Mus musculus: one gene and its partners. The protein of the gene in region 2 purifies or fractionates together with the protein of the main gene of each other region. This does not show direct contact. Links are inferred from orthologs where the notes say so. Each region holds a gene or a part of one and is shown on either strand. Other genes may lie near its edges.

Region 1 (10,741 bases), on a different chromosome or scaffold from region 2:
ACACTTGAATTTCAAATGTTAAAACATATAAAAAGTGATTCGGGACTACCATCTGTATCAACAGTTGCCAAGTGTCTGGTTGTTTATTATACAGCAGGGTAAAGGCAGTGCAGATGCCAGCCGGGCAGCACGGGATGAGATGTTTCTACAGTAGGCTTTCTACAGGCGGCGGCAGCATGTGCTGCTGTCTGAGAACCTCGGAACCTGCTTCCGATGCTCAAGTTGTCTGCCATGTGGAAGGTTAAACCGCGTTAGGTATTTAGTTTGGCAAATGTTCAACATAAAGTAGAAATGTAGTCGTAAGCATCACCGATGTGCACATCCAGTCTCCATCTCAGAAGGAACCGTAGGTACAGATCAGAACTCTCCCTATAGGAAATAATTTACACACAGATGGGGGCTAGCATATCACTATCTAAAATAATCACTAAATACAGTTCTTTTTCAGAAATAAACAAGCAAGTTTTTTCATTATCAGTTATCAAAAACATAGTGTTAATGGTATTTCAAACAAATGATACTCTAAAATCATAGAATTCACTGAGTTTTGAGAATGTATAACTAAATCAATCAAATGTACTGTAGTACAACCATATTAGGAAGCCAATGATCAGAAAATACAACAGCATGAAGAAAATTTCATCCACAAAACTGTTTTCAGGCTTTAAGGTAAAATAGTTCCACAGTTTACAGATAAAACAAGGCAACAGAAACTCGTGCTTGTCTTGAGTAAGTACTCTATGCAGAAGATGTAACACTTTGTTTGTAGACAGCATGGTATGCATTTCTCAGCAACACATAAGGAAAACAAGATTCCAAGAGATCCATTGTCAGGAATGGTGATTCTTGTACAATCTGAAAAAGTTAAAAAAATATCAAAATTCAAGTTACTCAATGGGGGTAGAAAACAACTCTATGTTCTTCTCATTTGAAACACACACAAACCATTTTACTTCAGAATCTAAAATGAAAATGTGTTACAGTGAAGCCTATCAATATACTTTTAAATGATATTTTCAAGTTTATCAATTAATCAATAGTAACACATAGAAGACACATCTTAAGCAATACTCTAAACATAAAAGTGAATACAAACGTAATACAAATGTAATGGTACATTTTAAGAAGCTCAAAATCAAGCTAGAAAGTAAAGTAAAAAATAAGACCAGCTATGATTAAATAGAAAGCAGTAAATTCTAGAGTTCAAGAGGAAAGAAAGTCTAATGTAGGCCTGTGTGATTGGGAAAGATCATCTAGGGAAGAAATGGAGTCATGAGTTCTGCTGAGTCTTCAGATAGACACAGATCTCTACAGGCAAAGGAAACTAAGAAGAAAGAGTCTCAGACACTGCCATGGCAAGCTAGAGAATTAAACTCGGCTTAGCAGGAATATAAAAGGCCTGAACACAACCTTACAGTTAACACTCACCTTTGGTCTTACGACTTCCTATTACTGACCTATGGCAAAAAAGGAGCAATGCAAGTCTTTGCAGAAATTTTTAGAAAGTGTATGGTTTGAGTGAAGTGACCACAAGAAATGGAGAAAAAAAAAATCACAAAAGAAACAGAACAAAACACCAATAAAACTTTCACTTGCCAAGAAGAGGAGTGCTAAGGACTGGAACATTTTGTTATCAGTAAAAGTTAATTAAATTGAAATGAGACATACCATATCCAGTAGCAAATAAACAGATTCTCTATTTCTTGTTGTAGTTTTATCTGTCTCTTGGCCAATTTTCAGTAGACTGGATGATGCAAGCTTAAAAGAACACACATGTAATCAATGAGGTTGGCAAAGAAATGCTGTTCACGTCCATTCTCAGTACAACTCAACCTTCAACAAGCTTCCGTTATTCAATGTGTAAAGTACGATGAGCTAGAGACCTCTTATCAATCAACAATTAAGGTATACATATAATCAAATATTCGTCAAAACTAACTTTTTGCTCAAGTTTGTTTCTTAAAATGATTCATATTGTTTTCTCTTCCCAAGATCCATAATACTCTACAGCAGCCACCCCCCTTTTACAAATAGTTTTGCTTTTAATGGCCAAATATGGTTGGAAAGCAAAATAGAAAATTCCAGAATTTCCTAATTTCCAATAATCAGTTTCTAACTTTGAATTCCATGCCATTCTATGTGTGACTCTGCTCCATCTTCCTCAGGAACAGGGCTGTCCCTCTGTCCTGCACACCCACACTATGTATATACCTGCATGTTAGTTACCTGCTGAATGACATGGTAATGCAGTGTTTCTGTTCAAGTGCCCACACCTCAGCATGGCTGCTTGCAAATGTACAGCCGAGGAGGAGGAGGAGGGGGGGTAGGGGGGGAGGAGGGGGGAGAAGGTCTTTCCTTCACATGAGAATGTAATGTTTCATGAAATATATAAATGACACCCACTCTAGCGCCAGCTATGTTCTAGCAACTGGGTTTCCCCGCCCCCATGTGGTCCCCTTGTGGCAGCCTCAGTCCATCTCTAGCCCAGCAGACAAGTTTCTATCAAGATCCTGAAATCTCTAGGAAAAGCTAATCTATCTGCAGAAGGTAATTTATTCTAATGCTGCCACCACATGTCAAACTGAAGGTTATAGCCAAAGTGTATGCCACTGTATAGAGTGATGGACACAAGGTCCTCAGAAATAAAAACTATAATGTGAATGACAGCCATATTGTTGGAAGACGGTTTGAATTAAAAGCCTTGTAACTAACAGACAACATCTGACCACTCTGAACTTCTGCAAAAAGAGACAATAAAAATGTAATGCTGGAAAAAAAAATGTAATGCTGGACCACGTCTGTAATCTTAGCACGCCTGAGTTCGAGGCCAGTCTGGTCTACATGAGTTCCAGGACAGCTAGGACTACAATAGAGGCCCTGTCTCAAAAATCCCAAAAATGATGATGAAAGAAGGGAGGGAGGGAGGGAGGGAGGGAGGGAGGGAGGGAGGGAGGGAGGGAGGGAGGGGAAAATGTGATACTGAATGTTTTAATCTGACCAGAGTATTATTTAGTTTATTAAGGCCATATCCACCTCCCTGGTATTTAACTATAATCAACTAGCAATCAAAGGAAACCCCAGGATATAATGCAGTACTGAAAACTATCTGCTATTGTGGGCACAATAACATTCATTAAAGCGGCAATGGATTAGTAAAACCAGGACTGATATGAGGAACTCATGGATACAGTGATGGATGAGTTGTTTTGAAGGCTTTCTGGGGATAGACAGGAAAATTAGGAAAACCGCTTAAAAACAACAAGACAAGTTGGTGGGACAGGACCTGCTGAACTACTTGGTGAAGACCATGCTGCAGTACACAAAGCTCACAAGGGCTGTAGAAGACAATACAAAGTAGAGGAAGTGAGAGCAGAAGCACCAAGCACATGTTACTGAAGTATGCCAAAGTGTTCTACGCTGCATAGGTTCTAAAGGTGGAGATTAAAGGAGTAAGGTCTCTGTGTGGAAAACAGCACTGAGGTCAGCCACATGGTCCCTGAAAGATTATAACCTCTGCACCACTGCTTTCATATTCAGTAAGAACTAATTACAATATCCTTCCAAGGTCTCTTTTAAAGGCTGTTGAGAATTCCCAGCCATCGCCGTTATTTGCTACTAATGTCCAAGAACTCCTCGCAGCCATGTCTGATGGGCACACTTAACACTACTCTCTCTTGGCAGCAAGTCAAGATATTCTCCCGGTAATGATCATTATCACCCAAAGCAGAGGATCCTCCCCTTGAAGCACTGTCTAAAGCCCACCTCCAACGTCCACCAATGTCTACATCGTCACCTCCATTTACCTCACACACACCAGTGTCATCTCAGGGTCACAAGAAGGGTGGACATAAGACAACAAAGCATTTCGAGGGACTTCACTCTCCTAACTGTTATTATGGCATGCAAACTGGTGAAACCTTTCTATTATTTCCATTAATAATGTATTGTACTCTAATACTTTCCTGTGTGTGCATGGATGCATACAGTTCAGTACTATTCCTGGCTTCAAGTACCCTCTTGGCGTGGGGAACTCAGAAAGCATAATCTATACATGAGAGGTGAACACACTGTGTACTTTTTAGATCCTAAATAAGGCAATTTCAATCTGGGTTTGTATTCATAGTAATTTTAAGGACATTAACTCCCCAAGTAAAGTAAATAAAAGGAAAACAACAGAATTATAATAATGTTTTCAAACTTGAGTTCCTTCTTAAATAACTGTTGTATTTGCATATATGTATTTATATATGTGTACATATATATGTGTGTGTGTGTGTGTGTATATATATAAAAACCAACAAGATTTTCAACAAAGAAAAAAACTAAATATTCTAGGGTTCATTTTGCTTAAATTATCTGTTCTTTAAGCAATTATGAAAAAGAAGCATTGGTAAAGAAAAATACTGCACTAAACCATGTCTGGTGACAGATTTAACATTACTCTCTTTTGGTAGCAAGCCACATGTAATTTTATGGTTTGTTTGTTTGTTTATGTGCATATGTATATGCCTTCATGACTGTGTACAAGTGGGCATCAAATCCCAAGAACTGTAGTGAACTGTAGTGAGGTAGTGAGATGTCTAATGTGGGTGCTAGGAGCTGAACCTTTGGAAGAGCAGTAAGTATCCGTAACTGCCATAGCCCTGTGAGTCATACTTTTATTGCTGACTTTGTACCTATTAATAGTATTTCTTCAAATAAGTAGGAATAAGGAAACATACCTTCTGCTACTGTTTTAGATATTTATTTTTATTTTTCGTGTGAGTACCTGAATAAATGTGTGTGGTGTGTGTATGTGTGTGTGTGTGTGTGTGTAGTACCCATGCTGGCCAGTTCCTGGGACAGGAGTTACAAGTGGTTATGAGCTGTACATTGTAGGTCTGGGAACTGAGAGGCAAATAATCCTTTTTTATTTTATTTTATTTTATTTTATTTTATTTTATTTTATTTTATTTATTTATTTTGGTTTTTCGAGATAGGGTTTCTCTGTGTAGACCTGGTTGTCCTGGAACTCATTCTGTAGACCAGGCTGGCCTTGAACTAAGAAATTTGCCTGCCTCTCTGCCTCCCAAAAGCTGGGATTAAAGGCGTGTGCCATCACTGCCTGGCCTTTTGTTTTGTTTTGTTTTTTCGAAATTGCATCTTTTAAAGAACACATTAGCTCTCTAGGCTTCCACTTTCTTTGAAGAAAAAAACATCTTTTGAATGTGAAGACAATCTCTACAATCGTCCTACCCCTTGGAACTGTAAATGATAAGGGCTAAGTTATTTTAAGGCACGCCTTCTCAGACCCTAAAATACCCCACTGTCTGAACACACACACTACCCTCTGCTGCACCTCTCAAACATTATTTTCAGCAAACAGGCCACATAGCAGAGCTCTGGAAGGAAAGACCCCAAGCTAGAGGGAAAACAATGATAACCTTGATGCAATCTATCTTTCTAAAACCAAAACATTAAAAAAGAAACAAGATTTAATACTTAATAAACTGAGAACAAAAATGTCTTTGGAGAACACTAAATAAGATGTAAAAATGATGGGAATTTACTGTTGTATAACATAGGCATAACTTTTTGTTTTCTTTGTAAAATGTCAAGCTATTTGATTAGACATACCGCCAGGAATTCCTTAAGTCGGTCTTCAATACTTCCTTTGTGAATTGTAAACAAAGCTGCAGCAATCTGGTTGATGGCTTTGGCCAAACAATGTATATTGTTGCAGTGTCCTGGGAGAGAACAAACAGGGCTGTGTAGTCTGCATGACCACAAAATATTATTGTAACACACAGACAGCATGCTTTAGTGACTCCTCAGACCACGCGAATGGCAGCATGACTGACTAAGAATTAGGGTCCACAGTGACTTACTCTTTTTATTTTATGAGCATGCATGTTTTTAAATATCCCAGCAAGGATGCAACTAATGACCACGTCAGTACTTCATTAGTAGGCAAACACTCTAGAAAGACATGATGCTTCGTCCTACCCCTTGGAACTGTAAATGATAAGGGCTAAGTTATTTTAAGGCACGCCTTCTCAGGCCCTAAAATACCCCACTGTCTGAACACACACACTACCCTCTGCTGCACCTCTCAGCTGAACTACACAACATTTCACAGTTCAGAAAATTAGGATGCCCACTCCAAAGCTACTGTTTGGCAGAATTTGAGCACTATTTTATCAGAAAAGAACATTACCCAGAGAGAAAAATACATGTAACACTAAAGCCAATGTTCTTTCATTGTTACAATTGTAAACCAAGTACCTTCTATTGCAGGGCTGTACTGTGACATTACATTGCTGGCCAGTGTAGGCAAGGAAACTGCTACAAAGACCATCAGGAGACAAGCGATCTTGTATTCTTCCTCTGGACTAATGTTCTCTGCAGAAGAAATCAAGGAGTGAAAATCAAGCTTTCCTCCAGATTATTTGAAAGTTAATAATCTAACCTAAAAAATAAAGGTAATAAACTACTTAAATTTCCTAATTGAAAACTGATGAATAATTATGAGAATACCATACATATTACTATTTATAAATTTCTTATCTTATTATCTGAAAATTCACTAAAAGAAAAACAATTCCTTTCTTTCCCTAGGCTAGCTAAGAATATATAAATACACTGCTTAAAGGTTACCAGTATTGAAAAGGGGACTGCGTTACTTATTTCTCCATTCTAGAAGACAGAAGGAAGCAGTTATGAATGAAAGTATCTAACATACTCAGTAGCTATAAGAACAATAACCTTTAATAAAATACCTAGCGTATTTAAATAGCTCTGTCTAGCACTTGGCTTCTTATCTGACATCTGAGAACTTCTAGTTACCCAGCAGTTGGCAATTATATGAAACTATGGATTGATCACAAGAAAACAAAAACACAGTATATTTTTAAAACTTTGGTTGATCATAAAAATACCTATAAGCAATAATTTATATATTATTTGAATTAGGAAAAACAGTGTAATTAAAAAGAAAACTAATAAACTCAATGACTGCAAGTTGGCTTAAAAGAGTAGAAAAGGGGCTTAGTGGCTAAGAGCACTTGCTGCTCTTGCAGAGGACCCGAGTTCAGTTCTCAGCACCCACATGATGGCTCCCAATGGTCTGTAATTCCCGCTCTGAGGCTGATGCCCTCGTCTTCACTCCTTGGGTACCAGGCATGCACACAGTGCACATAAGTGCAGGCAAATTATTCATATACATTAAGTAAGTGAAAAATTTAAAAAGAAATTAAAATCAAAAGGGTGGAGAAGGCATTTCAATACCAAAACCAAACCAATCAAACAAAAAACATCATCAACAATAACAAAAAAAACCACCCCACCTTATTCACACTGTAGAGAAACCAAGATTTGGAACATAGTTGATACTATGTTTCAAAGAACTGGTTTTAAAATTTCTAAATGGTCAGTATTATATAATGTAGCAACTTTTTATGGTGAACATCTATTCTAATTAAAACAGGACACCATTTTCTAGTCCCAGCTCTCTGGCTACCATAAGGGCTGCCTTCCACCAGCATACAAATGTTCTCTTCTTCTATCTCCAACTCACAAAGTCCTTTCCACAAGCTGGGGTATATATAGCTACAGTGTAGTGTGTAGGGCCTACCCATGCTTCCCAACACAAGCACTATGTCTTCATCCCAGCAGAGCTGTTCCATATCAAGTGTGTCCAGTCCCTTCTCTCACACTCACTGACTTCAGAGACACCGATCTCAGCACCACAGCTCTCTAACAGTGCACAGTTCGCGATTCGCTTTCACTGTCTTAGGAGCTTTTTCCCAAGTGCTTGTTTTTTCTCTGATTACATTGGTCCTTCCATCTTAGTCTGTATTATGCATTTCTTCCTCTTCTCCCTGAACTCACTACAGCTGAAAGGGCACTGTTTCTTTGCACCGCCCTATCTATCTACACCAAATGACTTTAACAGCTTCATCTGGTAGTATGGCTTGGACAGGATGTAATGACTAAGCTATAGCAAAAACTCCAAAGCAAAGCATTTTGTCTTTTGAATCCTGATGTATTCCAATTATAAATGAATAAATGGGTGAATAAAGCTTAACATAAGACATTTTAAAAAACAAATACTACGTGTATACCTAGACTGCCCTATAATTTTAATAAGAAAGCTCCATATTTGAATGCATTTTACCTGATTTTTGTGAGGAAAGAGCTACGACTAAGGCAGGATCAATCTCACATGGTAACCCAGCAGCCGAGGACAGCTCATACACATTCATTGCAACCTGACAAAATACAGCAATTACAAAGAGATAAATATTTTAACAAACGTCTGAGAAAGTTTACTTTAGTAAGAAAATGTCTATGGTGTCCATCAGTCTGCCCACGAACCTACTAGAAGATTTCAGCACCTTGGCTGAAGCAGGGCTGACAGTGCAGGTAACCCACACCAGACAACGCTCCAACCCTGCTCTTTGTAACTTCCCACTGTGCAAACAAGGCTTGCAGCCTCTCTGTGGCAAGCTCCACAGAATCATCCTAAAGATACTTTTTGTCTTGCAAAGATGGAAGTAAAATATCAAGTCAAAAGAGAGAAAGAAAGCCAGTTGTGGTGGCTCACACCTATATATCTGCACTTGAGAGTTCAAGGCCAGCCTGGCTACAGAAGGAGCACCAGCTCAGCCTGGCTAGAGTCAACACCGAAAGCCAGTTATTATGACTGAACCTATGCTTACATCCACAGTTACTTAGTGAAAAACTTCAGGGATTCAATGCTTAATCAGAGCCATAAACATAGCAAATTAATTACAGGAAAAAAATTAAAAACCTAAGAATCTGATAAAGCAATCTAATAATTTTCTATCATGCATAGATTTTAATCATTCAAGATATGCTGAGTGGTATTCTAATTAAAACCTGTATACATAGTTGGCTATCATTGATATTAACAGATAATAAAGCTCAAATAGAAACAACCATGAACTAAGTTGCAGAGACGCACACTGCTCACAATACACCAACTGAATTTCAAAGTGCATCAAAGATATAAATGTAAAAGCTAAAATTTCAAAAATTTAGAAGAAAATACAGGCATAAATTCTGATGACCTTTGTCAAGACAATATTTGTTTGTTTGACAGCAAAACTGTAAACAAAAGAAAAAACAGATAAGTCAAAGTACGCTGAAATGAAAGAGTTCTGTGATTCTTGGATACTAGCAAGAAACTGAAAAGAGAACTCAGAACCATGATTCTACTGAAGATGTATTACTGCTTGATAGTTCAAAAATAAAATGATGCAGGCCAGTGACAGCTCAATGGGAAAAGGATTTTCCCCTGGCATAAACCCGGCGATGGAGTTCAACCCCCAGGCCAGGCAAGAGTGAAAGGAGAGATCCAACTCTGCAAACACAGGCGACACACGGTCTAAAAATGGGCAAAGGATCCAGACAAACCTCTCTCTAAAGAAGCCATACAGACACATCACAGACGTGTGGCAGCCTCGAGAATGAAGGAGATGCAAACCAAACCAGCGTGATACCTCTGCACACCTACTAAAATGGCTCTCAACATGAAGACAAGGACTGGATAGAGAAAACCCTGGCACCCTCCTTGTTAGCAATATAAACCAGTCTCGCCACAGCCCATCTGTTTGGTGGTTCCTCAAAGCTAAACAGTTTCTACAGAATCCATTTGTTATATAAGAGACCAAAAACATCAACATGGATAAAAAGGTAGCATTATTTACAACATCTAGAAAGTAAAGACAACCCACATCTGTAATTGATAACTGAATAAACAAACTAGTACATTCATCCAATAAAACACTAAAAAATAAAGTACTGTGCTAACACATGCTGAAACATGGTGGGCCATGAAAACATGCTAAGTTAAAGACATCGAAATCAAAAAACTCTCCGTTAAATGATTTACACACAGTACTCAAAGAGGGATGACTTCAGAGACGTAGCTATCATCTAAGATGGGGAGTGAGCTGAAAGTGGGGAGCTCCTGCCCTGGGTACTGATGCACTTGGGGATGACAAAACTATTCTAAAACTAATTGTGACCTGTGATGGCCATGACTCTGTGACTATATTCAAAACCATGGAACTGTACACTTTAGATGAGCATCTTTTATGACACAAGAATAAAGCTGCTAAAAATTATGTTTGGGATCTTCAAATCAAGTCATTTTTTTTTTATTGAAAGTTTGCTAAAAACTCAATTTAAAAATTATACTAAGTAATAAGAATTGGATAATTAATTCAATTCGGGCACTATATTAGAATTCTCAGCACCCAAACATCAGTGTGCTCATAAGAACTATTTAACCTTGTATTTTATTTCTACTTAGAAAAACTCATTTTCTGCTCTATTCATAGTTTCAGTCATAAAATTATAGAACAATCATTACTCTCAAGTGCTAACTTCTATATAGCATTATAGGAAAACCAAAAATGAAAAGAAACAAGGCCTTTAAGTTGTTTATTATCTAGTATAAATATGGGCAGAAGAAAAATAAAAAAATTGTCTACTAGCACTAAGAAAAAACTTTTTTATCATTGAGGAATCTAGGTTCTTAGAAAATGGCAAGTGAACCTGGCCTCACAGACAGGCAGGACTTCCAAAGGCAGAGACAGAAAAGGGAAGAGTTTCAAGTAGAATTAAGGAAGAGGTAAATGGAGCCTGAGAGAATGCTCATAGACTGTTAGGTCAGAAGAGACATATGAAGAGAGGCAGATAATGGAAGCAGAGTGGTAGATAAGCCATTTGAATA
Region 2 (11,237 bases):
CATGCCTGTCTAGCTCTTACAATCCAGAGTTCAGGTCTAGCCTTGGGTACACTGGGAGTTTGAAAGCGACCCTGAGCTACATGAGACCTTGTTTCAAAAAATAATGTGGGAGCTGAAGAGATGGCTCAGAAGTTAAGACAGCTTGTTGCTCTTCCAGAAGACTCAAGTTTAGCTCCCAGCTCCCAAATCACACTGCTCACAACCACCTGTAACTCTGGCTTAAGAATATTTAACGCCCTCTCCTGACCTCTGTGGGCATTCATAAACATGACACCCACGCATTAAAAATACACACAAAAATTTTAAAATAATTAAAAAACGAAGCGGAGAATGACTGAAAATGCCTTTGCCTCCATGTAGACATATGTGAGTGCACTCCCCAAACCACACACGTGTCCTCCTCATGCTTCTTGAGTACCTGAAATACCCTAATTTCTGAGCTAGAAGGTATAGAAAGAAAGAGTGTGTTCAGAAAAATAGATGAATCAGTAAGAGTAGTTCAGTATCAGGAAAAGACAAAGCAATTCAAAAGTCTCAAGTTTACGAACCAGGTCCATCATAACCAACGTGTAGTCACTGCCACCCTTAGAGACTGTGCAAAGCTGCTCAGACACTGAAGGCTGAAGACACTACACACATCACTATGGACTGTCAAGTGACAATCGAGCTAAAATACAAAAGTTATTTTACGTACATACATACATACACACACACACACACAGAAGGGGTGGAAAGATATGTGTATGTGTGTAGAGAGAGATAAGATACACATTTATGTCATATATAAGTGATTCCATATGTAGAACCACTTACAGAGAGAGAGAGAGAAAGAGAGATAGAGAGGAAGAAGGTGTAAGAGATATGAAAGAGAGGGGCTGGAGAGATGCTCCATCTCTTAAGAGAATGGCTGTAGCACTTGTTTTGGAGAACTCAGGTTTAATTCCCAACACCTACATGGTGGCTCACAACAGTCTGTAACTCCAATTCCAAGGGATCCAAAACTCTTCTGGCTTCCAAGGGCACCAGGAACTTGGTGCACAGACATATATGCAGGCAAAACACCCATGCATATAAAATAATATAATAATAAAATCTAAATTTGGAAGCCAGAGTAGAATTCAAGTCCTTGCGTAACAGGTCAAACATAAGTCATGAAGAGCTTGGGCAATGTATGGGCCATGCCATCACTGTTCGTGTTCATTCCTGTAAGGACGACATCACAGGAGGCTGACCAACAAAATTCCTGGACAGCAGTGTCTAAGCTAGACACACTACTGGTCAGACTACCAGCCCAAGTCTACACACAGACAAGAAGTAAACTTCAAGACACTTGCTTGTTAGCCTTCTGGTCAATCAAAACTAAACCAATAGTATTAAAAACCACTGAGTTAGTTGTGATGTCACATCTCTGCGATGCCAGCCAGCACTCAGGGGTGAAGGCAGGAGAATAGTTAGAGGCCGGGGCTGGGTAGGGATTTAATAAAATAGTATAACACTTACCTACCAAATGTGAAGCCCTAGGTTCAGTTCACAGTACCAGAACAAAGAAAAAAGGTGGGAGAGGTGGCTGGGGGGGGGGAAGGGGGGCACTGGCTCTGCACATGCCACACCATCACCAAGATAAACACATGGGTTCTGTTTAACTCTCTCAGATTCTATATCCACTGTCAATTAACTACTGAACAGGGACTACCCCACCACAAGAATACAGGCCGATTAATCTAACATGGTCATAATAGACTTTGTAACTGTAATCCCTCAGAAGAACTTTAAATGGTAAAGTTTGCAATTTGTGTGACCTCAATCAATCTGTCATCACTCGGCTTTTAACCCTGTAAAATTTCATAACTATATGTGATATTAGGCTTGCCAGCTTTCAATTTTTCAGAATAAAAGGCATTCCAACTATACCTCAGGCATATAGTTTATTTGTTAAATAGCAGAAAAATATTATTGGCATGAAAAGCCATGTATGTACACCTCTACACGGTGGTTCTCAACCTTCCTAATGCTGTGACCCTTGAATCCAGCTCTTCATGGTATGGTGGATCCCCAGCCATAAAATCATTTTCGTTGCTACTTCCTAATTGTAATTTTGCTACCGTTAAAAATCACTATGCAAAATATCTAATATTCGATCCCAAGTGGATTATGACCCACAATTAGGAACCACTGTTCTTAACCAGTGTTTTACTATGCATTGCCCTTCAGAATGCAAATCTCGAATCTTGTGGTATGTGTACACTTCTCTTGGCACTTAGCCCCAACAATATCAATGTCAAGTACAGAACAAAAAAATACAGCGTCTGGAGAGATGTTCAATGGTTAAGAGCGGAGGACCCAGCCGGGCGTGGTGGCACTCGCCTTTAATCCCAGCACTCAGGAGGCAGAGGCAGGCGAATTTCTGAGTTCGAGGCCAGCCTGGTCTACAAAGTGAGTTCCAGGACAGCCAGGGCAGAGGAACCCTGTCTTGGAAAACCAAAAACCAAACCAAAACAAAAGAGTGGAGGACCCAGGTTCAATTCCCAGCACCCACACAGTGGTTCATAACCATACCTAACTCCAGTTCCAGGGATCCAATGCCCTGTCTTCTGGTCTCTGTGGACACCAGACACAAATGTGGTGCAGATATTCACACAGGCAAAACAATCACTATGTTTTCCTTAAATACAGTTAAATGGTGATGCACACCTTTGATCCCAGTGTTCAAGAGGCAGAGATAAGCCAGCTAGAGATATACAGGTGAGACTCTGTTAAAAAACAAAGGCACACTGGGGTAGAAAGATGGCTAGGCAGGTTAGGGTACGCCTGACTGACTAAGTTCAATCCCTGGGATCCACTTGAAGGAAGACGAGAGCCTGCTCCTGCAGGTCCTCTGACCTTCACAAGCTTGCCATGGTGATGCGTGCCTTCACACACACACACACACACACACAGACACACACAGAGAACACACACAGACACACACACACAGAGAACACACACAGACACACACACACACACACACACAGAGAACACACACACACACACGCACACAGACACACACACACAGAGACACACAGAAACACACACACCACAATACACTGTTTAGAACAAGACTGAAAACTCCATGGCCAGGAACTGCATTTTTATGTCTAACATTCTTCACTGACCCTCATAGTGAAAACAAACAAACCCCAACAACGGTAGTGAGGCGAGAAGCAAGTGGGAACGGCTCAGGAGAATAGGCACTGGACTCAAAGAAAAGGAAAAGGAGAAGAGAAAAGCACAGCAACAACGGTAACCAGCACTCGCTCAGCGCTCCACAAGGACCGGGCACTCAAGAGCCTCTTCATACTCAGCATCTCATTTAGGCTTGTTTAACTTTCCCTTGAGGCATCTCTCTTGAGGAAGAAATGATATGCTGAGGATTACTCCGTAGGTTAAAAGGGTACTGAGGGCTGGAGATGGCTCAGCAGTTCAGAGCACTGGTCATTCTTCCAGAGGGCCTGGGTTCCACTCCTATCACAACCTAATGGTTCACCGATCTCAGTAACTCCAGTCTCAGGAGATCCTCTGCTGGCATCAACATACGGCACGGACATACACACAAAAACACCCATACACATTAAAAAATGTAGGGAGAAAAAGAAAGGTGTGGCAATCCAAATGAACCCTACAGGAGGCATTCTACACGTTTTTACTAGATTTTCTTTTTAAAGCCAGCAACAGGCTAAGACGTATCTCAGCTGTTCAGACGTGCCAGGAAACCTAAGGCCCTGAGGCCCAGCTGGGGGTGGGGGTTACAGAATGAGTGCTGGCATACCTGCTGCATGTGCATGTCAGGTCTTAGGAATTCCCAAGCACTAAGGTTTGGGTTTGGATCAGCAGCAATTTACCTTTTTAAAAAGTAATTGTCTTGAGATGTCTTTCAATGTACTTTTTCATAGTCATCCCTACTTCCTTCCAACTCCACCCCAGCCCTAAAAACTCACCTAGTCCAATCTGTGCTGCCCATCCATAGACTCAACAGTGTGAGGCCTCACACTGGGGCTAGTTTCCCTCAAGGACCACATCCATAGAGAACACTGACTGGCTCACCCCTAGAAGCATCAAGGGCCCATCTCGACTCAGCCTAGGCCCTCTCTGCCCTGGGCTAGGATCTTATACAGCTGCTGCTGAGTTCACAAGTGGAATCTAGAAAATACTGTTTCCGCTGGGTGTCCCTGACCTCTGACTCTTATAATCTCTCTTCCTCCCCTTGGTCCCTAAGCTCTGGGAGGAAAAGAGGATGGTGACAGAGCAATTTAACTTATTAAAACACTAGGAATGTGGTAGTATTCCCCAGCCCACAAACTGCTGGTGAAACATTTTTAACTTTTCAAGGAAAGTTCAGGTAAGTTTTAAACGTTCCCCAGCAAGGTGCTATGTTATAGTTCAACCGCAATACAAAAAGAGAGACAGACAGACAGACCCAGCCATCTTGCCTTCACTTAAAGCAGACCTGTGGCTCATACCTGTAAGCCCAACGCCTATGTCCATGTCCTCCTAACAGGAGAATCATGGAGTTGGGACCAAGGCAGTCAGAAACTAGGATTTACACAAAAAGACCCCGGCCCCACAATACAACATCTTCACTATCAAACTAAGTGCCCCAAGTGACAAAGCTTTCTTTTAGGAGGTGAAAGGAAAGCACCATTGACATTCCTACTCAATGAAATTCCAGTGTGTCGTTAAATACATTGAACCGTATCCATGAGACTTCCTGTCTCCGAGACAAATCCCACAGACAGACATGTTAGCAGAAAAATAAAGTTCTCTGACCGTCTGGCTGACTTAGTTACAGGGACGATCCCAAAGTCTAATGTAGAGTTCTGTAAATACGCTGAACAATCGCTCATAAATCCACGGGCTCATAAACCCATGGGCGGCGAGTGCTCACTGCAAGTGTGGAAGGCATTAAGCAAGTTTGGCAACGTACTCGACTGAACTAGAAAGTGGACCAGTTGCACTCTGCGTTTGAGGAAACGGGTGGTAAATCTCCAAGCTTCCTCGTTAACACGAACCTACACAAGCTACGCTGAGACGCGCGATTTTGCTCCGATTACACTGAGATTCTTGTTTCTACCGAAGGGGTGGGGGGAACGGGACGGACTGCATAAGACCAGTCTTGTCTCCCTCAAGGGCCTGAAACCATCACGGTCAATCACGAAAAGAATTGCCTCGAGTCACAGGGAGCTGGATCTGCTACATCCATATCTAATGCCTTCAGAGAAGGTTTGTTTGTTTTTAATAACCACACTTCGTTCAATGGACAGTCTTCATCACACTCCTTCAGCTAGCATCCCAGTAACTTTCTCGGCGTAAGTGTGAAAATGAATATTTTTATAAACACCCTGTCAAGTCGAAGCAACCGAGCCCTTTCCCAAGTTCCAGGTCACCCAAGTGACTGGTGCAAACATGCATCGACCAGGGCCGGCCGACTTGGAGGCCGTTACCTATCCCAGTTCTCGGGGGGGGGGGTGCGAGGGGGTACCCTGAGTAAATGAAGAAACTATACGTCCCTTTCTCAAAAGACAAAAATTTTTTTTAAAAATGTTTCAAGAAAAATTCTTCAAACCAGCCTCGCCTACGTGCCAAGTCGAGTAGGGCGACGGGCGGCGTCCGGCCCGGGAAGAAGGCAGGAGGGTGGAGTTCACTTTTCCCTCCGGCCGGCTCGCCCAGGCCCTCCCCCAACCAGAATCCGGAACCAGGCCCGGGAGGGTGGGAGGCTCGCGCCCCCCAGAAGGCCGGGCGCGCGCTCTACGCCAGCTCGAGGCTTTTCGGGCCTGCGGGGGCCCCCGATGGCGCTGCGCGCGGCACCGGGTCCGGAGCGCCAGGCGCGGCCGTGCACTCACCCGTCTCCCACCACCACACACTTGATGGCCTGCATCTGGGCCGCTCGGTGGGCCGCGGCGGCGGCGGCGGCGGCCGGTGGCTGAGGCGCGAAGCGGCGGGCTCGGGAAGCGCTGGGCGAGGCTGCGGGCGGCGGGGCGCCGAGTGCCGGGACTGCTGTCCACGCCGCCGGGCCCTCAGCGCACGGGAAGGCGAAGCGCAGCAGCAGCCACCACCCAAAGCTGGGGAAAACTGCAGAGAAACAGGAAATGGCCGCTCCACTCACATCCGGCCTCCCCTCCCCCTCGGTGCCGTCGACGCAGCTCCCAGGCTCCGGGCGGGGCCGCTCCCGCCCGCCCGCGCGCCCGCCCGCGCCGTTCCTGGCTTCCACGGGCTTTCGGGAAAGCTCGGCAACAGTCGGCTCCAGCCGGAGAACGGGCTCGGCGGCCGCGGGGCGGGGCGGCCGCCATCTTGGCACGCTAAAGCGTCCCGGTTGTGACCAGGTTTAGGAAGCCCTCTGAATCCTGGGGTTACGGGTTCGGGTCAGTGGTAGGGTCCCGTTCGCTCGCAACCTACTTGTGCCAACTCCATGGAGAGATTCCTGAGCCCCCTTGTTATGTGATAACTACAGTATGCTGTAGCGTAAGATCCTGCTAGAAAATTCTGTATAGCTCGTGCCACAGTGAGATCCAGTCTCAAAAAAGAAACTGCTAGGGATGTAGCCAAGTCAGAATGTTTGCCGGCATGTACAGCCTGGGGCTCCATCCCTAGCACATCACAGCCTGCCCTGGTGGCTCACCTGTAATCCCAGCACTTGGTGGGCGGAAGCAGTAGAATCCTGGGGATCAACCTCAAGTCCAACCTCTGGATATGCAACTCAATTGGTAGAGTGCTTCCCCGAGCAGATACAGATATGAAACCCTAGGATTGAACCTCACGACGGTATGAAACAGATGTGGTATATATCAGGTAGTGCATACCTGGAATCCCAGCTCTGGACTGGAGGTAGCAGAAACATCTGAAGTTTGACCTCTGGCTATGTAGCGTCCAGCGTTAACCTGACCTACCATGAGACTTTCTCAATAGGGGTGGGGGGTGGGGAGGGAGCACTAAATAAACAAAAATATAAGGAAAAAAAAACATACATACCATTAAAATAATAAACAGAAGGATAAAGGTCAGAAGAATTCTTTTAAAGATTGCTGATATGATAGGGTAAGCATATAATTCATTCACAAATAAGGTAGCCTATTAGAAGACAAGAACATTAAAGATATTTTTGGTTATCTGTGGTGTGTGTGTGTGTGCATGTTTTCATGTGTGGGCACATGTGTGGTGCACATGTGTATAGAAGACCAAGGTTGACACTGGGTGTATTCAGTTGCTGTTCACCTTATATATATTGAAGTAAGATCTCTCATTGAACACAAAACTGGCCAATTCCAGTTAATCTAGCCAACCAGCTTGCCCTGGAGATCCCATCTTTATCTTCCGGAGTTACAGGTGAGTCACCGTACCCTCCTAGTATACTAGTTTCTGGATTGGAGCTCTGTTCCTCACACTTGCCTGGCAAGTTCCCTCCTCCTGGAGCTTAAGAGGCCAAGCTGCTCTTCCAGTAGACTGGAGTTAGGTTCCCAGCACCTGAATCACATGGCTTACAGCCACCTGTAATTCCAGCTCCAGAGCGATCCAACACCTTTGGCCCCCTGAGACACCTGCATTCATTCACGTGTGTGCACGTGAGCACAGACACAAAATCTAAAATATTTTTTTAAAGAAAAGAAACCAGACCAGGAATTCCAGCCATCCTAATATCCTAACAGTAAAAAAATAAAACAAACAAACAAAAAATAGAAACAAAACAAAAAATTTAAGGGAAGCATCTGTGGAACTATTCCACGAGAATTTCCCAGACCTGGAGGATAAACCATTTACAGATAGATAATGCCCACAGGGAAGGAAATCTGCCCCACTGCACTGTACAAACTTGTAAAACTTCAGAACCATGTGAACACATAAGACCCTTCTGGCTTCCAAAGAGAAAACAAAGTCTTAAAGAGACAGGAATTTAGAATGGCTTTGGGTTTCTCAGCAGTTCCATTTGAGGGACAACGCCTTCAGGACGACGGCTCAAGAAGTAAAGGTGCTTGCCGTCCAGCGATGCAAGTTTGGTAGCTCGAGTGCCCTCCTTGCAACCCAGGTAAAGGTGGATGGAGAGAACTCTGTCCTCTGAGTCTTTGTATGCACACAAATTGGGCCTGTGAGATGGCTCAGTAGACAAAGGCATTTGCTATCAAGCCTGAGGTACTGAGTTCAATCCTTAGGACTTACAGAATAGAAAGACAGAATTGACACTCTTAAGTTATTGTTTGGTTTACACACACACACACACACACATTGGGGTACATGTCTTCATCAGACATCCACACAAAATAAAATGTAAAATAAAAGTGTTTTAATGAGTACATTTTTAAAAAAGGAACCAAAACAATTAATTAATTAATTAAAAAGCTGGGTGGTGGTGGCGCAGCCTTTAATCCCAGCACTTGTGAGGCAGAGGCAGGCGGATTTCTGAGTTCGAGGCCAGCCTGGTCTACAAAGTGAGTTCCAGGACAGCCAGGGCTACACAGAGAAGTCCTGTCTCGAAAAACCAAAAAAAAAAAAAAAAAAAAAAAGAAAAGAAAAGAAAAAAAAAAAAAAAAACGGCTATTTAGGCTGGCCATGGTGGTTCATACTGTACTTTGAATCCCAGCTCCCAGCACTTAGAAGGTAGAGAGGTAGAGACATGCAGATCTCTGTGAGCTTGAAGCCAGCCTGGTCTACATGGTGAGACCTTGTCTCAAAAAAAGCAAACAAAAATAAATGAAAACATTTTAGAAAAATTATGCTTAAGCTAGAATTCCTCACATGGCCAAAAATCCTTGATCAGTTGCATAAAGTAAGAATGTCTTCTGATAAATAAGTTCTCAGAAAGGATTACCTCCCAGATACCAGGCCTTAAGGAAACGTCTGGAGCATATGCTCTTCTAGGAGAAGGAAATAAAACAAAACAAAACAAAAAAAGAGTTATGAAAGACAGAAAGAAACTTGAGCTCCCGCAGGAGGACCAGGAGGGAGCCCACAAGACGACAGGGAAACTGCCACAGCCCACAGACAGTCTGTGCCCATGGCTACTTCCTTCAAATGAACAAACCAGCACTGTTATTGACCACGGGGTTCCGCTGACAGGCCGTGACAATGGTGACATTAAGAGGGAGACAGGAGGGGATGGCCTTCTCTGTACTGCCCCCCACCCCAGTGTTATAGAATACAAATCTGGGAAGGCTGGTGAGATGGCTTATCAAGGCAAGAAGTATCTACTGTCGAGCCTGGCAGCCCGTGCTCCATCCCCAGGAGCAGTGTAGTGAAAGAAAGAAAGAACCTATTCCTCTCTGTTGTCCTCTGAGTCCTGAGTGCCTGCTCCCTGCACGGCAGGTGCCTCAGTGCACACACACACAAATGTAACTTTTAAAAATTAGCACTGTGTGATGGCACACGCCTTTAGTCCCAGCACTTTAGAAGCAGAGGCAGGTGGATGTCTGTGAATTAAACCAGCCTGGTCTACATGAAGAGTTCTAAGCCAACCAGGGCTACATAGTGAAACCCTGTCTGAAAGAGAGAGAGAGAGAAAGAGAGAGAGAGAGAGAGAGGAGTTTTTTGTTTATTTGTTGACTATGTAGCTTTGGGTAGTCTGGAACTTGCCATAGAGACTAGGCCTGGCATTGAACTCAGAGATCCGCCAGCTCTGCCTCCTGAGTGCTTGGATCACAGACTTGCACCACCATGCCTAGCACGTCACATATACATTTTCTTTTAAAAGAATCCTTAAAATAAAGATTTATACAACTGGAAGATGGTTTGGGGGTTAAGAGCAGGCACTCTTCTTACAGAGGACAGGAGTAAGAGTCCCTCCCCACACTCACTTCTGGTGGCTTGCAACCACCCATAACTGTGGCTCTGATGCCCTTTCCTGGACTCTATGGGTACCAGCAAACACATGGGCACACAAAGAAAAACGGAAAAAAAAGTTAGGGTTTCTTTTTGGTTTTTGGTTTTTGTTTGTTTGTTTGTTTGTTTGTTTGTTTGTTTTTCAAGACAGGGTTTCTCTGTGTACTGGCTAGTTTTGTGTCAACTTGACACAGCTGGAGTTATCACAGTGAATGGAGCTTCAGTTGAGGAAATGCCTCCATGAGATCCAACTGTAAGGCATTTTCTCAATTAGTGATCAAGGGGGAAAGGCCCCTTGTGGGTGGGACCATCTCTGGGCTGGTTATCTTGGTTCTATAAGAGAGCAGGCTGAGCAAGCCAAGAGAAGCAAGCCAGTAAGAAACATCCCTCCGTGGCCTCTGCATCAGCTCCTGCTTCCTGACCTGCTTGAGTTCCAGTCCTGACTTCCTTTGGTGATGAACAGCAATGTGGAAGTGAAAGCTGAATAAACCCTTTCCTCCCCAATTTGCTTCTTGGTCATGATGTTTATGGAGGAATAGAAACCCTGACTAAGACACTCTGTATAGTTCTGGCTGTCCTGGAACCCACTCTGTAGACCAGGCTGGCCTCAAACTCAGAAATCTGCCTGCCTCTGCCTCCCAAGTGTGCCACCATTGCCCGGTAAAAAGTGTTTTTTAAAATGAGAATTTGTAATAATGGAGTGCCTCATTAATGTTAACAGTGATCTAACAGCCTTCTCACAGAACTCAATTTCTACATAGGTCCCTTTGGGAGAGGTGGGTCTCTCTGATCTTCTCACTATGACCCTTTTCCCTCAAATAAACTAATTAATTAACCTTATTTATTTATTTTGTGCAAAGTGCACATACATGTTCTGTGGTGTGTCCATGGAGGTTTTAAAATTTTGGTTTGTTTTGTTTTTGAGACAGTGTATAGGCCTGGCTGTCCTAGAACTCACTCTGTAGACCAGACAGACTGGCCTTGAACTCAGAAATCTCCTGTTTCTGCTTCCTGAGTGCTGGGATCAAAGGTGTGCGCCATGACACCTGGCTTCTGCAGTTACCTGTCAACCTCTATCTCCTTAAGGCACAGCACTTTCTTTCTTTCTTTTTTGTTTTTGTTTTTTGTTTTTTGAGACAGGGTTTCTCTGTATAGCCCTGGCTGTCCTGGAACTCACTTTGTAGATCAGGCTGGCCTCGAACTCAGAAATCTGCCTGCCTCTGCCTCCCAAGTGCTGGGATTAAAGGTGTGCGCCACCACACCCGGCTCAGCACAGTACTTTCTGCAGCACTGAGCTTCACAGTCACTCACCCACTCACCTGTGTCCACCTCCAATTTTGCTACAGGAGTGTAGGAGTGGTGATATCATAGACCTTTGCTACAGCATCTACCTGTGG
Region 3 (10,741 bases), on a different chromosome or scaffold from region 2:
AAGGCAGAGGCAGGCGGATTTCTGAGATAGAGGACAGCCAGGGCTATACAGAGAAACCCTGTCCCCTGTCTCGGAAAACCAATAATAATAATAATAATAAAATGAATAAAAATAAAAAATTAAGTCTTGGATTTGATTCTCAATGCTTCATATACCGGGTAGTCACAGCACTAAGGAAGTAGAGGAGAGAGGATCAGAAGAAATCCAAGGCCGCCCTTATCCATACGGAATTTAAGGCCAGTAGCCTGGGTTGATACATGAGATCCTCTCAACAAAACAAATCAAATACAAAGAAGATAACATTTTAAAGAATAGTGCTTTATTGAATAAGTCTTATTCACAGAAAAATAAGCTTTAATCTACAACAAATGACAGATTATAGAGCAGAAAGCAATTCCATAAAGGAGTTTCCATAAACGAGTCATAAAATTATATTCACAAATATAGTACAACACATGACAAAAGAATTGGTCTTTTTTTTTTTCAGGTAAAGTATAACAAAAATGCCAAAACAGAAATTACACGAAAGCCATTATTACATCAAAATGCAAATTTGTTGGTAAGTATAGACAGTGATAAAATATACTTACAGAGTAATCTTAAATGCTCATTAATAATACATAAGCACATAGTAAATGCCAAACAGCTGTACTCACATCTGCAAATTTCAGCCTCCAAAAGAGAACTTTACCACTCAAGCATTACTGTCATATTGTTTAATTTGAAAGTATCAGCAACCGTCTTACTGTAGAAACTACAAAGCACCACTTACTGTGCCCTGATAAGAGTGTAATAGAATGAAGAGTTGACAAACACCTGAGACTTCCAGTAAGGAATCTATCACTAATCAGCTATATAGCTTCGGGCCAATCACCTTTCCTTTAAGTTGCCTCAACAATAAAATGAAGGTGGTGGTGGTAGTGTGAATAAGTGACTTTCTAAGGTCATTTCTAGCTCTGATAGTCAGTGATTTTATTATATAAGGAAGAAATCTACATTGCACTAAATGTTTCAGAGCCAAACTAAAATATTAAGATGGTAATAAGTTGACTGTTTCTATTGGAAAAAATTCGACTGAATTTAGTAAGAATACTTTCTCTAATTTTTGAAAAGGTAATTTAAATATTTTTAAAGGGTTGAACTATTTATTACAATTTATAGCTTTGTTACAAGAAGCATCCAGAGAAACAAATAATAGTGAGTAAAAGTTAACATAAAGAGTTTCATTTAAGCTTTAAAGATTACTTTTATTTTATGTGTACTTGTGTATGACTGTGTATGTATACACACATGCATGCACCCCTGAAGGCCAAAAGAGGGCACCAGAGCTACATGTGTCTTTGTCCATGTGGGTGCTGGGAACTGAACCTAAGTCCTCTGAAAAAGCAGCAAGTACTCTTAACTGAGTAATAGTTCTGGGCCTCTTTTAAGCTTTAGTCTAAGATCTTCCATCAAGACAAAGCCATGGAGGATTCTAAGTTGTAGGATGAGAGTTAACACTTAAGAGTATATAAGATGTTCTTGTGTTAACACTCTTGGTCTTCTCTCTTTTGTGTATGTGTCTGGGTGTAAGTGGTTACCTGCCATGTTACATGTGTGGAGGCAGCAGATAACTTGTGGATGTTGGTGGGCTCTCACCTTCCCACTTTGTTTACCATGGTGCCTCTTCATTAATACATAAGCCATTAACTGACCATGAGCTTTGGGGCATTCTCCTAGCTACTTCCTGTTTCATGTAGGCATTCTGGGATTACAGGTGCTTGGGCTAGTGCGCTCAGCTTTTTGTTTGTTTTGTTTTCTTTTATGAATAAGACAGGGTTCCCTGTCCTGGAACTCACTCTGTAGATCAGGCTGGCTTCAAACCCAGATATGTCTACCCCTGCCTCCCAAATGCTGGGATTAAAGGAGTGCACTAACCATGACCTGGCTGCTTTTATGCCCGTTCTGGGGATCTGAATTCAGGTTGTCAAGCCTATTTTTGACTAGTTCTTTCCTTCACTGATGGCTACCTTTTTAAAAAGAGAAGATGTGACTAAAATGTGAAGTATTTCTCTACCCACTTTCTTGCTTCTCTCATAGCAGTGACAGACAGGCTACTCCATCTCTCCTCTTCCTTTATCCAGTATCTGGGGACTCAGAAGTCCAGGAAGACTTAGGTCTAATGGGAACAATGCATGCAGCTAAGGTTGCAGTGGCACTTTCCATTCAGAGAGCTCAAAATATAAATCTTACTAAAATAAAAAACAGAGCAACACACTGTGACTAACAAGACAACAAACTGTCCTACCCCAGCGAATCACATTGTAGTCACTCCACTCACCTCACCTCTACCCCTAACTACAGGAAGAGGCAAAAGTCTAGGAGGAAAGACAATACTTTAATAAATGCTAAACACTCACACACATCTTGATCAACACAGTAAATAACAAATGAAAGTAACTATTACAAAATAACTTCAAAATTCACATGACTAATATGTAGTAAAACGGGTGGTTACTTCAAAATTCTAGAATGAACTTTATACAGCAAAAGACCATCAGCACGCAGACACTGAACTCTCTCAGGGGTGGTGATTCAGAGCCGGTTATTCTGTGACCTTCCGAGTGACCATTTTTTACACAACCATACTGGAAAGGATCCAGTACCTTTTTTTTTTTAGTGTGATTTCAGACCAGCTCTGCTAAGTCTCCAATAATTTGATTAGAGTTGGAGTGCTGTGATTTTAAGAACCCGAAGCAACAGCATTTTCTAAACAATTCCTAAAATAAACTTGTTAGCCACATCAGCTCCATGAATTCAATTTCGCAACTCATGAAGACAAGAAAAGAGGTCTTGCTTAACTCTCAGCACACAGGTTTTAAAAGAGTTTTAATGAACTGAGGCTCTGAGAACAAGAAAAGTGTTATTTGAAAACATTCAGTCCTTGAGTCCTAGGCTAAGGACTAGATTAAACAAACTACCTATATGACTTGTACCTGAAGTGCCTTGGAAACAATTTTTAAAACTATTCCCTGGCAGAATGCTTGAAATATAAATTGAAATTGAAATCTTAGTCAACTTAGATCAAATGTAACCTAATGATCATATAACTAAATCTAAGCAGAAGGCAGTATACAGAACTAAGGATTTTCATGAAGAAGACAGAGAGAGAGAGAGAGAGAGAGACAGTCAGTTACTTAATTCTGTTGGTTTCTATTTAAATTTGCAATTAAAATAACATCACTTACCATAGTAGTCAACAGAGGTTAGGAGAACCTAACAATACTCTTTCTCTTAGAAAATACAACAAAAAGTCTAAATTGTAACAGTTTCACTCTCAAACTGTTCTCTGTAGTAAAATAGACCAGTCTTTACAAGAGGTCTCTCATGATAATTACTTAAGGTAAATCCCGTGTTCTATGAAGCACTTTAGCTTTTGATTGTATTCATATTGACTTATACAAGTTGTTAAAAATATTCAAACAACCACTCTTCTCAGTATGTTACAATTTCCAAGGTTTTAAGGATCTTCAGAAAATATTTTTAAAGTATCCACTACCATTACTAGTCATGAAAACAAACAAACATAAAACAATCAAAGACTGAACATTTTGTACTATATACATCTTAACCATCCTAACATCGAAACCTACATGAAACTTGTAGGACACAGAATGACACTGAGAAAGAATCTCAACACGGAGAGCCAACACTAAAACTACAAGCCATATACACCAGGCGTCTACATTTACCTACGTAAGCGGACAGATGGTTACAATACTGGGTTAACAAAGATCTTTTAGTAAAGTGACTTAGGCAGGCTTCAACTAGCAAGGATTAAGGGTGAATCCTTACTAATTAATTGGAAGATCTGAGACATATTTTATATTTCATTTTACAAAATCAGAAATAGTTATTTTGAAACAAGATAAAAAGACATGATCTACCTGTCAGAAAACTACCACTCAGAAATATTTTTCATCCACAAAGCAGGTAAAATAAAAACATTTAAAGTTCACATTGGCACCAGAAAAGTTAACTGGCCTGCCTTCCTGGATTAGAAAAACTAAAACTGAGCGATAAGTAGTTTTGCAGACGTTTGAACATGCCTAAGCCTTTAAATCAGCAACATATTTACTAAGAACTCTGATTATAAAAGTAATACATACTTATAAAACCTTTAAACAGAAAAAAATGAAAAAATAAAGTGAAGGGCTCTATAAGCCCCTCTAAGACCCACCCCCCACCCCCTGAAGAAAAAATACATTTAAGAGTGTGATACTTATATTTTCAAACCTTTTTGTCCTGTACAGATACAAAATACACACAAGCTGATTTGGCTCCAACTAGATACAGTGTTTTGCCATTTGTATTTTACACTTAACTATATCTGTGTTGCCTTTCCATGTCAGTACATGCTGGTTAGATGGTAGTCTACCATTCAATATCTTTTAGGAGATGACGAAATCACTTAAAAATACTCATATAAGTACATTTATAACTCCAATAAATTCCAAGTAAATGGGCAGAATCCTAAAACACAGAAGTGAGCATCTAAAACAATCTTTATCCTCCCAGCAGCGTGGGGCAGTTCTTTCCGTGTTTACAATAAGCCAATTAAAGTCATTGGGCAGATTCCATCACATCTCCATGCTTATACAGAACACTCCATTTGTTAAGCTTATGCAAAAGGCATGAAACATGCAGGTGATGAATTCACTTACATATAGAAATCAAGTCAGTGTACTACCAATATACATGTGAAAAGCTATAAAATGCTTCTCTGTCTAAGGTTTCAATCGAGTAAAACACTGGCTAAATGATACAGCTGATAACTCGAAAGATCCAGAAATTGAATGTTTAGACGGAAACAGTGCTGTTAGCATTGGTCTCCATTTGGAAACAGCAGATGCTAATGGAATGCAATGCAGATTACTTAAAGTTCGCTCCCATCACACATTCAATTAGAGCAAGAAGAACATAACATGTGGTGCCCCACTAAGACATAAAAATTTTTTGCTTGAACGTAATGACGGTGTAGCACATGGGACATTTGTCAACTGCTTCTGCACACTGTTTACAAGTGACCAGATGTCCACAAGGAACAAAAACGATAGCAATATTTCTATCCATACAGATTTTGCAAAGCTTCTCCTCTTGTAGGCGCCTTAGCTGCTCTTCAGTACTAATGTCTGTGTAAAAAGAAAAACAACATATACTAATTTTTGGTTTTGTTGTTTAAATTCGTTGAAACATTGAACCCCCTCCTGTGTCCCAGACACTCAAGTCCTGGGAGACACGAAAATGACTCAGACATAGCAGCAATTCTTAAGTAGCTTGTGTGCTAGTGGGAGAGGCTGTGAGATACAGCCAGAGAGGGTAAGAACAAAGTAGAACATACTATAATCAAGTTACATACAGAGTGCTCTGGGGCAAAATGAACAAGTTCTTCTGTCTGGGTGGCTAGGGAAGGCATCGTGATAAGCAGGACTGCAGTGGTGTGGCAACAAATGACCAGGCAGAAAAAGCAAAGATGAGGGAACTGTACAAACATGTTGAAAGGCATGGGTAATTCCAGGAAGGGGTCTATTTGAAGGCTGCTTCTACTGTGGGACAGGTAGGATTTAGTGCTTCGATGTGAGGGCTGAAGAGAGAAAGCGCAGGTAAAGTTAGTTGGGTTTGTCAGGGTTAAGGAGGCAGTGAGAACTATTGGAAATAGAGAAGAAGGTAAAGGCTTTACAGTTGCAAGTACATTTAAGATGTTGGCAGGCTATCCACACAAAAACATTTGGGTGTAATTAGAGGATACTGAAGTAGCTGCATAGCTGAACCTTTGCCAAAACAGATTTTGTGAAATGCTAACAAATATGCCACAAAACTATGATTTGTAGTCATATATGATAACAGCAACAATAATCAACAGTAATAGAACATAAATATTATATGCTGGGCATTATTCCAAATAAATTACATATTTTAACTATATTTGTAATCACTGTACACTAATGGTTTATAAATCTGGCTTCAAATGAGAATTGGAAGGTTTTTCCCCCTTTGGGATGTGTGTGTGTGTGTGTGTGTGTGGGGGGGGGTGGTTAGCATCCTGAAAATTCAGGATACTGTATACCATTCATTGTGCCACATACCTACCTCTTGTGGCATTTTCACAAACAAGTTTTCTTTCCTTCTAAAAAATAATTTATTACATGTATTTATATTTGTGTGAGCGCATACACTGTGGCACATGTGACAAAGTGAAGAGGTCAACTTTCAGGAGTTGGTTCTCTTTGTCCACCATACAGTTCCCAGGTTTCTAGTCCTCAAGTTAGATCTTCAGGCTTGGAAGCAAGCACCTTACCCACTGATCAACTGCACTAGCTCTGCTAGGTTTTTCTAACTTCTAGGACGAGTCACATGAAACTATTTCACTGGATGTATCCCATTATGGGAACACAATGCATTTCCCTATTAAACTTTGTATATATCCTTTTCAAAACAAAACAAAACAAATTCTGGGTCTTATTATTTAGCCGTGGCCTGTCTCTGCCTCCTGAATCCTGAGATTAAAGGTGTGTGCCCCATGGCTGCCATCACTCCTTTTCATGGCATTTATGTCCTGGAGGGAACATTATTTCCAAAACGTGTTTAGAAATCAAGTTTAATCTTGTTCTTCCTTAGCAAGCACTTATTGAACACTTACTTGAGCATTTGGTATAAAATAAATAGTACATACATACACTTTAGGCACCCAATATTCACAGAAAAATTGGGAACATAAGTAAACAGAAAATCACGATATGCTAAACAGTGACAATGATATTAAACGAAGGTGAAAAAAATGACTGAAGCATGCTGCAAGAGACAGAGCACAGCATATAAGCGCGTAAGTCAAAACTGGTAATTGAATATGAAGGAAACCAGACCAGATACAGAAGGTCGGCAAGAGTTGACCCTTAAAGATGTGACAAATCATGGAAGAACTGAGACTTGATTCTGAGGGTTCTGAGAGCTGCTGAGGAGTTTTGAATCAGAGAGAGAGAGGTACTGCCATATTTGAGCTCTCTGGGTATGAAAAGGACAAAAAGGATTGTTCTAGTCTCTTCTTAAGAAACAGCCTTCAGGGCTGGCGAGATGGCTCAGTGGGTAAGAGGTAACTGCTCTTCTGAAGGTCTTGAGTTCAAATCCCAGCAACCACATGGTGGCTCACAACCATCTGTAATGAGATCTGACACCATCTTCTGGTGTGTCTGAAGACAACTACAGTGTACTTATGTATAATAATTGACCAGAGCGAGCGGGGCCCACCTGAGTGAGCGGGGTTGACCAGAGCGAGCAGAGGTCTTAAAAATTCAGTTCCCAGCAACCACAAGAAGGCTCACAACCATCTGCACAGCTACAGTGTACTCACATAAATAAATCTTAAAAAAAAAGAAAAGAATCAGCCTTCAGGCTGGGTGTGGGGCTCACGCCTTTAACCCCAGCATTTGTGGGGTAGAAACAAGTGGATCACTTGAGTTTGAGATCCAGCCTGGTCTACATAGCAAATTCCAGGACAGCCAGGGCTATACAGAGCTGTCTCCAACCCCCACCCCACCCAGAGAAAGAAAAAAGGATAAAAGAAAAACTGTCTAGAAGTAGCTTATCTGCTGTAATTTTGGTTGTTCATTGAAATAAGAGAACCATAATACTAAGTTCAAAGAGTAAAAGTGTTTATTCTATGGGGATATTATAAAGGAAATGGATGGGCTACAAGGTGAATTTTCCTATAAAAACAAACAATGCATACCTTTCTGCAATGAAGTTTGACTTGACTCATCCTCCGTATTATCTTTCTGAGCACTCACAAGATCTGCAATCAGGACCTCAAGTGATAGATAGCTGCTCCCGGATGTTTGGATTTTTTCTTCCATTGTTTTCTTAATGTCCTTGAAGCTAAATCCCATTCGTATAGCTTCTTGCACCATAGGATTCTGGAAGATGGTATCATCTGAAATCAAAGTTGGGTGGAGAAAGAACATAGTAGAAGTATTTTCATTAACATAACTAAACAGTAAAATAGTTTAGGGATTTGAGACTATCATATTGATGATAAGTTCAACAGTAGAGTGTTTGCCTATTATATGTGTTGCTGTGCCTTTGATTTCCAAAGCTGAAAAGAAAAGTGCTCGTGCACACCTTTAATCCCAGCACTCAGGAGGCAGGGACAGGCAGATCTTTGAGTTCTAGGCCAGCCTAGTCTACAGAGAAAGTTCCAAGACATCCAGGAAACCCTATCTCGAGAAACCACAAAAAGAAGTATGCTAGAGAAAAATGATTTAACTTGGTTATTTATACCTGCTACCAAGTCCATTCCAAATAATATAACGTAGCTCTGCATTTCAAGCATATTTACAAATATTTGTAGTATCCTAGATGATGTTACAACATTAGGGAATAGGGACTCACCAGATACTCTAAATTAAAACATACTGCTTCAATTGAAAAAGGACATCTTAAAAGAAAAGAATAGACAAGAAAACAAAACAAAACAAAAAACTGAAAACCCACAAATGGAAACTCCAAAAGAACTAGTGTCTGCTCGGCAGTGGTGGTGCATGTCTTTAATCCTAGCACTTGTGAGTCAGAGGCAAGCGGATTTCTAAGTTCGAGGCCAGCCTGGTCTATAGAGTTGAGTTCCATGACAGCCAGGTCTATACAGAAAATACCCTTCTCAAAAAAAAAACAAAAAAAAAAACAAACACCAGTGCACAGGTGTTGTGGTGGACACCTTTAATTTTAACACTCTGGAGACAGAGACAGAGGCAGGAAGGTATCTGGGGGTTTGAGGCCAGCCTGCTCTTCAAAGCGAGTTCCAGGACAGTTGAAATATAGAGAAAAACTCCGTTCCACACCACCACCACCACCACCAAACCCCCATACATAATCACACTGAAAATTACATTTAGGGCTGGAGAGATGGCTTAGCTGTTAAGAGCACTGACTGCTCTTTCTAAGGTTCTGATAAATCCCAGCAACCACATGGTGGCTCACAACCATCCATAATGAGATCTGACGCCCTCTTCTGGTGTGTCTGAAGACAGCTATAGTGTACTTACATATAATAATAAATAAATCTTAAAAAAACCTAAATCTACAATATGCTATGGAATTTAGAAGACCCTGTTATAGTGCTTAGTTCTATTAACAATTTATAATAGTGCATGCATTTAATTGGGAGGCAATAGCAGGCATATCTCTGTGAGGTTGAGGCTAGCGTGTTGTATAAAACAACTTCCATGACAGCCAGGGGTACACAGAGAAATCCTGTCTCTAAAAACAAAATGAAACAAAACGAAATTATACCATGGCCATGGGTAGATCACATCACCTTTGTTTCTTCAGAGGAATGTAGGACTAACTGCAGTGGATGCAGCTCAGAGTACTTACTATTCACGGCTCAGTCACCAGCACCAAACAACAACAAACACCATCACAGTATCGGCTTTAGCTGCATGTGGGGGCACACACCCCAATCCCAGCACTTAGAAACTGAGGCAGAAAGAGACAGGTCCAGGCCAGTCTGGCCTACACAGTAGACAGACTACTGGGATAGCTCAGAGGTTAAGAACATTGGCTCTTCCAGAGGACCTGAGTTCAATTCCTGGCACTCACATGGAGGCTCACAACTACTTTTAACTTCAGCCCCATGGGATCTAACACCCTCTCCTGGCTTCTGGGGCAACCAGGCATGCATATGGCACACATATATGAAGGCTGACCACCCATACAGATTAAATAAATAAGTAAATAAAAATGTAAAAATCTAAACTTCTAATCTCTTTGTTGTTTTAATACATTTTCCTCCCTCCCTTCCTTTCTTAAAACCATGCCATGCAATCCAGACTGACCACAAGTTCAGAATTCTCCTGCTTTAACATTGTGAGTGCTAGGATTAGATTTCCACCACAGCACCTGGCTTTCTATTAATGTTCTCACTACAAAACTATCTGGAATAAAATTATAAGCACTTCATTAAATTCTTAAATTTATAGCAGCCTCATTAAACATACTATAATAAATTGGCCACAAAACTAAACAGATTTATTTTTAATAGGCATATTTACCGATTTTTTTAGTTAGCGATGGTGTTTTTTCAGCAGTTCTTCCCTAAAATAGAAATATGAATGGTAAGAATTCACTTTAGCAGAAAGCAATTATCTCAATTTGAAAAGTTAATAAACTTAAAACAAATTGGCTTTATTCTAATTTAAAAACCCTGACTATTCATAAGAGCATAACCTAACGGAATGGAAGGAAGGTAAGACTATCTATCTACTCATCACCCCTTTATAAACAAGAAGCTGAGGGCCAAAGAGATCCAACGATCCCCTGGAGAACAAACCAATACAAATGCAGCTAAAAGCTAAGGGTAGAACCGTCATGTCCACTCTAGACTCCCACTGCAGTCCAAAGTTCTTCTCAGTATACTAATGCTCTGACGGCCACTGTTCTGTGTCAATTCAGACACAGTTGTTCATCTTGATTGAACCCAGGGGCTTGTTTATGCTAGCCAGAAAAGGTAAAACCCACGTATATCTCTGTCCTTATTTTTGCAATCTGAAGTATTATCTGCTAAAAGGTTACTAAAGACACACACACACACACACACACACACACACACACACCATAGGAAGACTAACAGTCAATGAACTTGGACCATTGGAGTCTCCTAGAGACTGAATCACCAGCCAAAGAGCAAGCATGGGCTGGACCTACACATGCC

The links.
Region 1: the proteins of Rac1 (region 2) and Nckap1 purify together in Homo sapiens (pull-down; 4 studies listed by BioGRID and IntAct, with this or other methods). This does not show direct contact. The link is inferred for Mus musculus from reciprocal best matches to the Homo sapiens genes RAC1 and NCKAP1.
Region 3: the proteins of Rac1 (region 2) and Xiap purify together in Homo sapiens (affinity purification with western blotting; 3 studies listed by BioGRID and IntAct, with this or other methods). This does not show direct contact. The link is inferred for Mus musculus from reciprocal best matches to the Homo sapiens genes RAC1 and XIAP.

What each region holds. Positions count from the first base shown.
Region 1 is NC_000068.7:80,500,557-80,511,297, forward strand, and holds part of Nckap1 (nck-associated protein 1), read right to left. Parts: intron 8,250-10,741; coding exon 8,156-8,249; intron 6,382-8,155; coding exon 6,265-6,381; intron 5,727-6,264; coding exon 5,617-5,726; intron 1,759-5,616; coding exon 1,669-1,758; intron 856-1,668; coding exon 739-855; 3' UTR 1-738. UniProt on the Homo sapiens protein: Part of the WAVE complex that regulates lamellipodia formation. The WAVE complex regulates actin filament reorganization via its interaction with the Arp2/3 complex. Actin remodeling activity is regulated by RAC1.
Region 2 is NC_000071.6:143,521,887-143,533,123, forward strand, and holds the start of Rac1 (ras-related C3 botulinum toxin substrate 1), read right to left. Parts: upstream 6,108-11,237; 5' UTR 5,912-6,107; coding exon 5,877-5,911; intron 1-5,876. UniProt on the Homo sapiens protein: Plasma membrane-associated small GTPase which cycles between active GTP-bound and inactive GDP-bound states.
Region 3 is NC_000086.7:42,099,221-42,109,961, reverse strand, and holds the end of Xiap (E3 ubiquitin-protein ligase XIAP), read right to left. Parts: intron 10,126-10,741; coding exon 10,083-10,125; intron 7,967-10,082; coding exon 7,766-7,966; intron 5,172-7,765; coding exon 4,978-5,171; 3' UTR 298-4,977; downstream 1-297.